Linked DNA regions of Kluyveromyces lactis. The protein of the gene in region 1 purifies or fractionates together with the protein of each later gene. This does not show direct contact. Links are inferred from orthologs where the notes say so. Each region holds a gene or a part of one and is shown in the gene's direction. Other genes may lie near its edges.

Region 1 (4,226 bases):
CTGGCCTTCCTTTTGCTGAAGAATCCAGTTTTATGACTCTATTTCCAAAGTACAGAGAAGCGTACTTGAAATCAGTTTGGAAAGACGTTACGAGGTCTCTCGATGCACATCATATTGCATGCGAATTGAATTTAGTTGAAGGTTCTATGACTGTAAAGACTACAAGAAAAACGTATGATCCAGCAGTAATCTTGAAGGCTCGTGATTTGATTAAACTTTTGGCCAGATCTGTGCCATTCCCACAAGCAGTGAAAATCCTAGAAGACGATGTTGCCTGTGATGTTATAAAGATTGGTAACTTTGTTTCTAATAAAGAAAGGTTCGTGAAAAGAAGGCAGAGACTAGTGGGTCCTAATGGTAACACTTTGAAAGCCTTGGAGCTTCTAACAAAATGTTATATTCTTGTCCAAGGTAATACTGTCTCAGTAATGGGACCATATAAAGGATTAAAGGAAGTACGCCGTGTCGTCGAAGATTGTATGAAAAACGTACATCCTATTTACCATATCAAAGAACTCATGATAAAGAGAGAACTTGCTAAGAAGCCTGAGTTAGCCGAGGAAGACTGGTCTAGATTTTTACCTATGTTCAAGAAGAGAAATGTTGCAAGAAAGAAACCAAAGAAGATCAAGGAGAAGAAAATATACACACCATTCCCACCTGCACAATTACCTAGAAAGGTTGATTTGGAGATTGAGTCCGGTGAGTATTTCTTGAGCAAGAGGGAGAAGGAAGTCAAAAAGTTACATGAGCGCAGGGAACAACAAGCCGCTAAACACGCTGAAAAGGAAAGCGAGAGAGCCAAGGATTTTATTGCACCAAAAGAAACCGACTACAAAAGCTCAATTTCAAAATCTACAAAGAGCTCTTTAGGAGACAGGAAAAGACAGCGTACCGATTAAAGCGCTAGTAAGTATTTTATTATATAATCGCGTTTCCATCCTTTTCTCATGACTCAAATTAAGAAATATAGTTTTAAGTTAAGTTTCAACCAGTTGCTTTGTTCAAAAATCGTCCCAGTAGACACTTTACGATTATATTTATGGACCACGTATACGCTTTTCACTAACTATCATTCATGCCAGCAACGTTCTTGCTTTTCCTTATGTCAAAACCTGCGGTGTGACAAAAATATAGTACGTACGATCAAGAAGGTTTTTTGAAAAGAAAAATGAGAAAACGCGTAAATATTTAAGGCTCGCAGCCCAATCTTATAAGCACGATAATGTTACCAGGTAAGGCATTATTATAACCGTTTTATTAAAGGAATTCAACACCTTGCAAACACTTCGGCACATTATCAAGTGCAGAATGGACCTACTAGATGATTTGAACGTTGGCATTCATAAAAAGAAAGGCAAAACATATTCTAAAGCGAACGATGCAGAAGATGAAGAGCTGAACGTGGGAGAGCACAAGTTTCTAGCAGAGAATCTGCTTGAAAGAGTCAAAAAGAGACTAAATGGAGATTCAGATGATAGCACTGCTTCGGCAATTGATAACAGTAAAAAAAGCACATTCTTCTACAGTGATACCGATTTGTATGAAGGTAAAGAGTTGGACGATGAGTTTGAGGCAATGCGTGAAACTGCTGCAGTACCAAAGCAGCGTGAAGTGGAAATCCAACAGAAAAAACATCCAATATCTCAGACACAATTAATTCCTACATTCTCTTCATCTTGGCTGGCAAAGACTCAAGTAAATACTCAGGCACTGGAGGGCACCAACAGAACCATTGATAGACAACAGCAAGATTTAGACACACAATTGAACAATGAGGAAATTACACAGACTACACCAGATGAACACACTCTTGATAAAGCTGCAACCGAAAGTAAATTGCTGCACAGTAAAGAAACTTCCTTTCGAAATACTTCGTTTACATTTAAGTTGACAACAAACAACAATGAAGGACTACTGGCAACTAAACCAAATGGAACTCAAATAGAGAATGAGCAAAAAGTGGTCGCTACTCAACTTGATGTTGCTGAAAAGGAGAAAGCCGTGCCTCTTATAAAAGATACTATAGAAGAACCACATTTACCTGTAGCACCATTAAAGGCTGTCCGAAAGAAATACCTCCCTGAACAGTTCATTGCAGCTTTTGATGATTCGGAGTCATCCAACGCAGAAGATCTTTCAGATGAGGAAAATGATGCTGATGAATTGAAAGATATGGCATCTACTCAAGAGTTAGTCACGAAACAGAAGAGTGTTGTTACTAATATGAATGGGATTATTGCCATTACTATGAAAAATAGTCCACAAAATGTTATTGAACTGAACTCTTCGTCCGAATCTGAAGATGACTATAAATCACAATCGTCCAAGGCAGCATTATTGCTGATTAAAGCTAAGAGATCCAGGAATAAGGCTACTAAAGCAAAGAACATGCATGTTTCTACAGTTGACTCTTTGAAGGAATTGTTTACATCTTTGAAAACAAAGAACAGAGACCAGATACTTGAATTTAGAAGAGAAATATCCGGTAAAAAAGGAATATCACTTGAAGCGATTGAAGATGAAAAGATTCAAGTTGAAAAGCTTCTAGAGCAAGAGCTTGAAAGGAATAGGAGAGTTAAACTAAGAGAAAAAAGAGAAAGAGAGAAATCAAAAGATACGAGTAAAGCTGCATCTTCTGGTAGCGCATCCGATGTCCCTGATAGCGATGTGATGGAGAGTGATTTAAGCTTATCAGATAGTGATGTCGAGCAGCATTTAGGGCTACACGGGTCCACTGGTTCAGACGAAGATAGCGCGGATACATCGGCAGCCCATAAAAACAACAATCCTATAATAGATGATGACGAGAGTTCTTCGTCAAGTGATGATAATGAAGTCACCCAGGAGCCGATTGGCATCAATTTAGGGCATTATGGCGATAATTTAACTTCCTCAAATGTAACGGAAAATGATGGTGCTGATCAAAGTGACAGAAATGTGCCTTCAAATTCAGAACTGAAGATGAACAGATCACATTCAGCGAAATTATTGGTGGGAGAGTTAAGTTCCGATTCCTCAGTAGACTCTGATTCCTCAGAGGACGAGCTCGACGAAGTAGAAAGGAATAGGCTTCAAGAAAGGGCTAAAATGCGCCGAAGAATGGAAATAGAGGCAGCAAAAAAGCGGAAGCAAGTACTTAAATCAACTGGTCTCAACAAAATATTGGAAATGGAAGCAGAAGAATCTGAGGATGAATGGCATGGTGTTGGTGGTGCTGACGGAGAGAATTCAGATGACTATGACTCAGATTTGGATACCATGATAGATGATTTTTCCAAAAGCAAGTTTGATACCGCTTCAATAAGAGAAAGGTTAGCCTTAGAGAACAAAGAAATGGACGAAAGGATGATAAATAAAATCTTACATGATATCAATACCGGAGGCTTTCGTAAACGTGGCCGAGGAGCACTAGATCTTGAGTTAAGCGATGATGAGGATGAGTTACTACGACAGTTTAGGGAAAAAAGAAGAGAAATAATGAAACAAAAGCTACTAGAAAATGTGGACGGTGTAGTCAATAACTCAAAATCAAAAGCCTTTTTCGATAGTATGGTGGAAGATATAACTAGAAAGTCAATCCCTGCTGTCACATCATTCAGCAATACTCGAGATGAGATGGGAAAGAAGAAAATTGTCATATCAGAAGAGTTTGTTCAGAGTTCATTATCGTTTTTAAGTGCAAAAGATGATGATATCAATGAATTTGAGGTCACTGAAGCAGCACATGATGCAACTGAGGATTTGGAATCTTTGAAACAGCGAAGCAATATTAAATCTCTCGATTCCCCTCAAAGGAATAGAAACTCCGCCTTCTTTGATGATGTGGATGGTACATCTCTGGACTTCAAATTGCCCAGCATCGTAAAGTCTTTTTCGTCAAACTCAGATGTTAATGACAAGTTCAAAACGGGGATCAAAACTGTTACTATATCTAAATCTTATAGAGTAGCCTCTGGTTCTCGATCTGCCATCACTTTCTTGGGTAAAAAGAGAAAATTGAAGGCACCCCAAGGCCGAAAATCCACACCGTTGGTACGCAAACCAACATCTAGCTTGTTTGACTCCAATTCCGATAGTTTCACCTGACCCATCCAACTAATATGTCAATTTCATTATAAAATCTCTTAAAATTACATTTGTATAATCATTATATCAGAAGTTAAATTCAGTGTTCAATGCCTCTTGAAGTTCATTATATGAAACAGTACAAGTTACTAATGGGT
Region 2 (4,138 bases), on another chromosome or scaffold:
AAATCCTTCGAAACTTGACAGTTCAGGGAATCCTGGTAGCTTTCTGTCTTCTGTAACCGGGTCTGGGTTTTCTTCTATCCCTAGAATGCAGTGATCATGAAACCAGTCCTCATTGCACTCCAAGCCAAGGACGCATTGTAACATCGTTGTCGTTGTATTCGGGTCATACTCTCTATGGCAAGAGCAAAATAACCCTTTGAAATTCTGGCCATACCTGTTACTCATGTCTGGTATATCTGGTGTAGTATTCTTTCTTATATTACAAGGTGTGAACTTCTCACCGTGTTCAAACTGCCTTTCTGTACCGCAATCGCAACTGAAATTCCTCTTATCGAAAAGTTCCACCAAGTCACAGGTACTGTGACACTGAATAGAGCATGAATAGCACACTCCTATACTGTTGCAAGTACGACATGCGAATATTGGCTGTCGAATTGGGCCCATGGAATAAGTGCAATGGCTTGGATCATATGGCATCAGTTTATTTGCTTCATCTTCCAGTTCCTCCTGTCGCTTCACATATTCTTTAACGCTAATCTCGCTCATTCCCTAACACCAACAAGACTATCTTTAAGTGCCAGAACTCACCTTGTAGTAAGAAATGCGTGAATGAAGGTACCCTTTTTGCCTTTAACTTGACGTGTTCCTTATGTTTAAATTTGGGGATATTTCATTGATAGTAAGAGATTTTCCATGTCGATGAATCAATATTCCGTATGATTTTACGTCAATATCGACACATTTGGACGGTTACCGGATGGAAATCGATCTAATATGGGGCACAAAATGCATCACATCATTCCAGAGCTTCAACATCCATACTTTACCTGCAATTGTGTTGCTTCATCGTGTGATTGGAGCTATAAGTACGGTTTTTAAGCGTATGATCCCATGTGATTATCACGTGATCCACGCATCATAATAAAGAAATTATACTAATCAAATGTAGATTGCAAAGCTAAAAGAGGTGAGAACTACCGATTGGTGTTATTGGAATATTGCCATTGCTGTATTATTAGCCCCAACGCTCTACAATGGTCAGATCGTTGCAAAACACCATTTTAGGAAATGTTATTGTTTCAATTAAAGATCATTTTCGTACATTCAACTGAAGAAAAAAGCCGGAAAAAACGTTAAGATCTTAAGATAGCTTTAGATCCCAATGGTCTGAAACAAAGTGTAACAAGTAGGTCATCGAAGCATCAGGAAGACAATTGTGTGATCGGATTTGGTAGTGCGATAATTGAAGATTATTAATTGCTGTTTTTGAAAGTGTTTCAAGATGTCTGATAATGATGAAATAAATAACGGAAGGAGGAGAAGAAGAAGAGCTGATGATGATGAGGATGAGGATGATTCTTTGTCTACACAACCCCGTGAAGGTGGCGCTAACATCCCTAGTTCTCCACAGTTTGAAGACCCGCTTGGATCTCCAGATGAGATAGATTTTGAGAATCCAGATAACGATGGAGATGAAGCTGTCAATGTTCAAGAGGATCTTGAAGATGTGGAAGAAAGAATGAATGAAGTCGATTTGATGGGTGATGATATGTACCGTGATTACGCTTCAAACACAGAACATGATACGTATGAAAGAAGAGGAGTCGACGACCAGGAGCAGCAAGAGTTGTCGCTCGCTGAGCGTAGAAGAATCGATGCACAATTGAACGAGAGAGATCGTTTGGTGCATAGGAACACAGCATACCTTGATGATGATGATGGCGAAGGAGCTGGTGCGCATAATTTGGATGCTATGGGTCTTCCAGTACAGAGGAGACGTAGAAGACGTCAATACGAAGAAGCAGATGATGATTTGTTATCAGATATGGATATAGATCCGTTGGCAGATGAGCTCTCGTTGGAATCTTTGGCAGATGTGAAGGCATCAAGTTATTCTGAATGGATCACTCAACCGAATGTATCACGTACTATTGCCAGAGAGTTGAAATCGTTTTTGCTTGAATATACTGATGAGTCAGGTAAATCCGTTTACGGTGCTCGTATCAGAACTCTCGGTGAAATGAACTCTGAATCCTTGGAAGTTAATTATAGACATTTGGTAGAATCCAAGGCCATTCTAGCCCTATTTTTAGCCAAATCTCCCGAAGAAATGTTGAAAATATTTGATACAGTGGCTATGGAAGCTACACAACTACACTATCCCGATTATACTCGTATTCACTCGGAAATTCACGTAAGAATCTCGGATTTCCCTAGTATATTGAACTTACGTGCTTTACGTGAAACTCATTTGAATTCTTTAGTTAGAGTTAGTGGTGTCGTGACAAGAAGAACTGGTGTCTTCCCACAACTTAAATACGTTAAATTCAACTGTTTGAAATGTGGTGCCACACTTGGGCCTTACTATCAGGATTCAAATGAAGAAATTAAAATCTCGTTCTGCACAAATTGTAGATCTAAGGGTCCCTTCAGAATTAATATGGAAAAAACTCTGTACCGTAATTACCAAAGAATCACCATCCAAGAATCACCAGGGTCTGTTCCAGCCGGTAGATTACCACGTCACAGAGAAGTCATTTTGTTGTGGGACTTGGTTGATATCGCAAAACCTGGTGAAGAAGTCGAAGTGACAGGAATCTATAAGAACACATATGACGGTAATTTGAATGCAAAGAACGGGTTCCCCGTTTTCGCAACAGTACTGGAAGCCAATTCAGTGAAGAGAAGAGAAGGCGGATTGCATGATGGTGATGAACACGAAGGGCTGGATGCCTTCAGTTGGACAGAAGACGAAGAGCGTGAATTCAGAAAGATGTCTCGTGACAGAGGAATCATCGATAAAATCATTTCATCAATGGCTCCATCTATTTATGGGCACAGGGATATCAAGACAGCAATTGCATGTTCTTTATTCGGAGGTGTTCCTAAAAACATTAACGGTAAGCATTCCATCCGTGGTGACATAAACATTCTACTTCTCGGTGATCCAGGTACTGCCAAGTCCCAAATTTTGAAATACGTGGAAAAAACTGCCAACAGAGCTGTCTTCGCTACAGGTCAAGGTGCTTCTGCAGTCGGTTTGACAGCTTCTGTCAGGAAGGACCAAATAACTAAAGAGTGGACTCTTGAAGGTGGTGCGTTAGTGCTTGCGGATAAGGGTGTTTGTTTGATTGATGAATTCGATAAGATGAACGATCAGGATCGTACTTCTATTCACGAAGCAATGGAACAGCAAAGTATATCCATCTCTAAGGCAGGTATCGTTACCACGTTACAAGCCAGATGCTCTATTTTAGCTGCCGCCAACCCGATCGGTGGTCGTTACAACTCTACTCTTCCGTTATCACAAAATGTCAATTTGACTGAACCAATTTTGTCAAGATTCGATATCCTCTGCGTGGTAAGAGATTTGGTTGATGAAGAAAGTGATAATCGGCTAGCATCTTTCGTCGTTGATTCACATATCAGGTCTCATCCAGACAAGGATCTGGATGATTTTGATGATGGTAACGTTCCAACGGAAAATCCTAATGGGGAGGGTGATGAAGAAACTCCGTTATCTGCCAAACAAAGACGCTTGCAGAACCTTCGTAAAAGAGAAGAAGAAATTTCGCCCATATCTCAGCATATGCTAATGAAGTATATTCATTACGCAAGAACTAAAGTTTACCCTAAGTTACATCAAATGGATATGGACAAAGTGAGTAGGGTTTATGCTGATTTGAGACGAGAGAGTGTCACTACTGGTTCATTCCCGATCACCGTTCGTCATTTGGAATCTATCTTAAGAATTGCTGAAGCCTTCGCGAAAATGAGATTATCAGAATTCGTTTCCTCATGGGATTTAGACAGAGCAATTAAAGTAACAGTGGACAGTTTTGTGGGTGCACAAAAGATTAGTGTACGTCGCCAACTACAAAGATCTTTCGCTGTTTATACTATGGGAACAATGTGAAATCAAGATTCAACATTTCCAACGGAAGAAAACAATTCTATAAGCTCAGAACAACAATATACCGTTCCCATTTTTTCCATTATAGATGCAGTACTACATCGCTTATATTAGCATAATATACAAATTTGTAACTAATAGACTTAAATAATGATTACTTCAACCTTCAAAGGAATACCGCTTTTATAATTTCATGTAGAAGTCTATAACTGATAATGTGGAGTG
Region 3 (4,193 bases), on another chromosome or scaffold:
TTTTATCCCTGGATAAATGGAAAGAAGAAATTGGATCAACCGTTGTTGATACGTTGAGCTCCTAATGTGTTTTGAGAGGGACAGGGGATCTTCTTTTGTTATCAGTGAGATTGGACTCGAGATGAAAAAGACTTGAAATATGATTCCTTTTTTATCCTTGCATGTTTTCACTTGTCCATCTTTCTGTGTTTCCACAAAAGTCGTTTTCCTTCCTGGAACGGTTTTGGTTGCTACTCCCGGTGTTCTTTAGTACGCTATCTAATTCCCCATTTTTTTTCGTCTACTGTTAAGCATCCAATTATATATATTAACTTATATGATATTCTGGGTGTTTTACGTGGGTTTTCAGCAATGGGATGGATTTTGAGTTATAATTGTTGGTTGGAGAACAAGAAACTGTTTTTTCTTTTCTGGAAAACACTCAATCGCTCCTTTCCTTGTCAAGCGTCATTGATGGAAATACTATCAGATACGTTATTCTTTATCACTTTCTCCTTTTAAATCAGCTTTTTTCTCTCTATTCCAGTAATTTTTTTTTTCACTCAATTAAATATCATTATATCCTTAATTCTATTTCTTATATATTTAAATCTTCTTTAACGCTTCCGTTTGTCGTTTTACATTGTCATTGAACCCTGTTAATATGGGGTGTGTGTACTCTTCCGCACTTGCAGACTGCCAGTTACTAAACGGTTGGGAAACCATCCTTGTTTTATTTTTTCAAATTTTGGCTCATCGTCGATAACTTTCAATATCAAAAGCTCAATTGTAGGCAAATATGATTTCGTTAGATTACTTTCTTTAATACCATCTAATGTCCATACTAGGTTCAGAACGTTGGCAAGGGTCTGTAGTTTCTTCTTGCACTGTGAAGCGCGGTATAGTATTTATTATTTACCAATTCACAATATAATGAGTGACATCTTCTGGATCATGTGATATGAACCTAACATCATTTTATCATATAACATGGCAACATGGCCGAGCGGTTAAGGCGAAAGATTAGAAATCTTTTGGGCTCTGCCCGCGCAGGTTCGAGTCCTGCTGTTGTCGTTATTTTTAACCCCTTCTTCCTTTATTTTTTGACGCGTTGCCATTTCTCATTACCCGGAAAATTATTCCTCTTTCTTTTCCAAAAACGGAAAAGATATTGACGAAAACATCAAATCTCATTTCTCTTTGCCGTATTCTGTTGGTAAAATACAGCTGAAACTCGATTCTGACAAAAATAAACTAGAAGAACCATATCAAGAACGTTTCTATCCCAGAACAGCACTGGTGCCAATGAAACATTAATTTTTAGCACCTTCATTTTAATAATATTATTGCATTTATCGCTCCCTGTTTAAAGGACTTTGCTACTGAAAAACACCATAAGTACCGAATTCAATCATGAGTGATGCTATGAATCAAACAAGTGATGCTGTCTTTACAGACAGAATGCGAAGGTTTCAAGAGTTTTTGGATACCCATTCGCATTATACTCGAGAAATAAGATCAATACTCGAGTTTAACAGCAACGTAGTGAAAGAGAAAAAGACGGATGATGATTATTTAAATACTGCAGACAAAGATACGATGGACCATGACACTAATCAATTGCCATTGAGAATAACAGTATCACTTGACGATTTAAGAGAATTTGACAAAACATTTTGGACTGGACTTTTACAAGTACCCTCGTTCTTTTTACCACCAGCGGAGCGTGCTGTTTCGGAGACTGCAATGGCCTTAGATGATAGCCCTCTCGGGTTTCGCGGATTCCAAAATGATCCCAGCAGACAATGGAGACTGTCATTCAAGGGTTCTTTCGGTCCGAATTCTTTATCACCACGTACCTTAAACTCAACACATTTGAATAAATTGATCTCAGTAGAGGGGATTGTAACGAGAACCTCACTTGTGAGGCCAAAACTTCTCAGATCCGTGCATTATGCCCAAACCACAGGCCATCATCATTACCGTGATTATCGTGATGCGACTACAACATTAACCACATCCGTACCAACACCAGCTATTTATCCAGAGGAGGATCAAGAAGGTAATAAGCTGGTCACAGAGTATGGATTTTGTCATTACATGGATCACCAGCGAATCACCGTTCAAGAAATGCCCGAAAAGGCCCCTCCTGGTCAATTACCAAGATCCATTGACGTTATCTTGGATGATGACTTAGTGGATAAGACAAAACCAGGTGATAGAATTAATATTGTTGGTGTATACAAGTCATTAGGTGCAGGTGGTCTAACAGGTGGTTCTAATAACAACGACAAGGGTAACGGTGCTTTATCTGGTTTCAGAACTGTTGTAATTGGTAACACAGTGTACCCTCTACATGCCAGGTCTACAGGTGTGTCCGCCGTTGAAACGCTATCAGATAATGATATTAGAAATATCAATAAGCTATCAATGCATGATAATATTTTCGACACTTTGTCCCAGTCGTTAGCACCATCCATCTATGGCCATGAACACATTAAGAAAGCCATCCTATTAATGCTTATGGGTGGTGTGGAAAAAAATTTACCCAACGGTTCACATCTAAGAGGTGACATAAATATCCTTATGGTTGGTGATCCATCCACCGCTAAATCTCAAATGCTTAGATTTGTGTTGAACACAGCAGCATTAGCTATTGCCACTACGGGTAGAGGTTCCTCTGGTGTCGGTTTGACAGCAGCCGTCACTACTGATAAAGAAACTGGTGAAAGAAGATTAGAAGCAGGTGCGATGGTGTTGGCAGATCGTGGTATCGTTTGTATCGATGAGTTTGACAAGATGTCCGACGTAGATAGAGTTGCTATCCATGAAGTTATGGAACAACAAACAGTAACAATCGCAAAGGCTGGTATACATACAACATTGAATGCTCGTTGTTCAGTTATCGCAGCTGCAAACCCTGTTTTCGGTCAATATGACGTTAACAAAGATCCACATAAAAATATTGCCCTACCGGATTCTCTATTATCTCGTTTCGATTTACTATTTGTGGTTACGGATGATATCAACGACATCAGAGATAGAGCTATCAGTGAACATGTCTTGAGAACACATAGGTACTTACCTCCTGGATATTTGGAAGGTGAACCTGTTAGAGAGCAAATAAATCTATCATTGGCTGTTGGTGAAGATATCGAAAACGAGGAAGAAGATGATGATGAGGACGTAGTTTTCGAAAAATTCAATCCACTTCTACACGCCGGTGCGAAGCTTGCAAAGAACAGAGGTGATAGCAATGGTAGCGAGCTTCCTCAAATTGTTGCGATACCCTTCATCAGAAAATACATTCAGTATGCAAAAGAGAGAATTATTCCTCAATTGACTCAAGAAGCTGTAGACGTTATCATCAAATCATATTCAAATCTAAGAAACGATCAGAACACCAAGAAATCCCCTATCACGGCAAGAACTCTAGAAACTTTAATCAGATTATCCAGTGCTCATGCCAAGGTAAGGCTTTCAAAGAAAGTAGAACTAGAAGATGCAAAGGTAGCAACACAATTACTAAGATTTGCATTACTAGGTGAGGACGGAGCCAACTTCGACGAACAGGAATTTGCCGAAGGCAGAACAACCGAAAAATCTCCAAGAAAGAAGCCAAGAGCTTCTCCAAGGAAGAAGAGAGGGGCCGTTTACAAAGAAGTTGACTCAGAGGATGCAGAAGAGGACCAGGAAATGGCAGAGACTCAACCGGATCCTGCTGACGGTCTGGAATCTACGATGGTACGGTTAGCACCAGAACAAGAGGAAGACCTTCAAAGAAGACTAGAACAAAACTTGAGAGTGAGTCCGAGACGCCAACTATCAGTCGAAAGAAGAGTACTTTCACAAAGCGACCATCAACAACAGGTTCTCCACCACTCCTCGCAATCCTCAACTGGACCCCTTGAAACTGGCTCTCAATTGGAACCGTCTCATATGACCCTTGATTTTATGTCCATCGAAGAGATGGACCAGGGTTCAATCTCAACCGGTAGGTTATCGTCACTCTCAGGTATTGTTGCAAGACTCATGCAATCAGACATTTTCGAGGAAGAATCGTATCCTGTCGCCGCACTTTTCGAAAGAATTAACGAGCAAGTTCCAGAAGAGGAAAAATTCACTGTTGATGAATACGTTGCTGGTCTAAGGATTATGAGCGATAGAAACAATTTAATGGTCGCGGATGGCAAAGTATGGAGAGTATAATCTTA

Evidence for each region.
Region 2: the proteins of MRC1 (region 1) and MCM2 purify together in Saccharomyces cerevisiae (affinity purification with western blotting; 4 studies listed by BioGRID, with this or other methods). This does not show direct contact. The link is inferred for Kluyveromyces lactis from reciprocal best matches to the Saccharomyces cerevisiae genes MRC1 and MCM2.
Region 3: the proteins of MRC1 (region 1) and MCM3 purify together in Saccharomyces cerevisiae (affinity purification with western blotting; 5 studies listed by BioGRID, with this or other methods). This does not show direct contact. The link is inferred for Kluyveromyces lactis from reciprocal best matches to the Saccharomyces cerevisiae genes MRC1 and MCM3.

What each region holds. Positions count from the first base shown.
Region 1 is NC_006039.1:35,260-39,485, reverse strand, and holds MRC1 (chromatin-modulating protein MRC1), read left to right. Parts: upstream 1-1,311; coding exon 1,312-4,089; downstream 4,090-4,226. Other genes in the region: ribosome biosynthesis protein KRR1, read left to right, coding at 1-902; VAC17 (Vac17p), read right to left, coding at 4,156-4,226. UniProt on the Saccharomyces cerevisiae protein: Required for normal DNA replication. Phosphorylated in response to DNA replication stress. Phosphorylation allows it to mediate the activation of RAD53.
Region 2 is NC_006042.1:1,165,488-1,169,625, reverse strand, and holds MCM2 (MCM DNA helicase complex subunit MCM2), read left to right. Parts: upstream 1-1,282; coding exon 1,283-3,916; downstream 3,917-4,138. Other genes in the region: KLLA0_F12606g (uncharacterized protein), read right to left, coding at 1-546. UniProt on the Saccharomyces cerevisiae protein: Acts as a component of the MCM2-7 complex (MCM complex) which is the putative replicative helicase essential for 'once per cell cycle' DNA replication initiation and elongation in eukaryotic cells.
Region 3 is NC_006041.1:1,979,883-1,984,075, forward strand, and holds MCM3 (MCM DNA helicase complex subunit MCM3), read left to right. Parts: upstream 1-1,392; coding exon 1,393-4,188; downstream 4,189-4,193. UniProt on the Saccharomyces cerevisiae protein: Acts as a component of the MCM2-7 complex (MCM complex) which is the putative replicative helicase essential for 'once per cell cycle' DNA replication initiation and elongation in eukaryotic cells.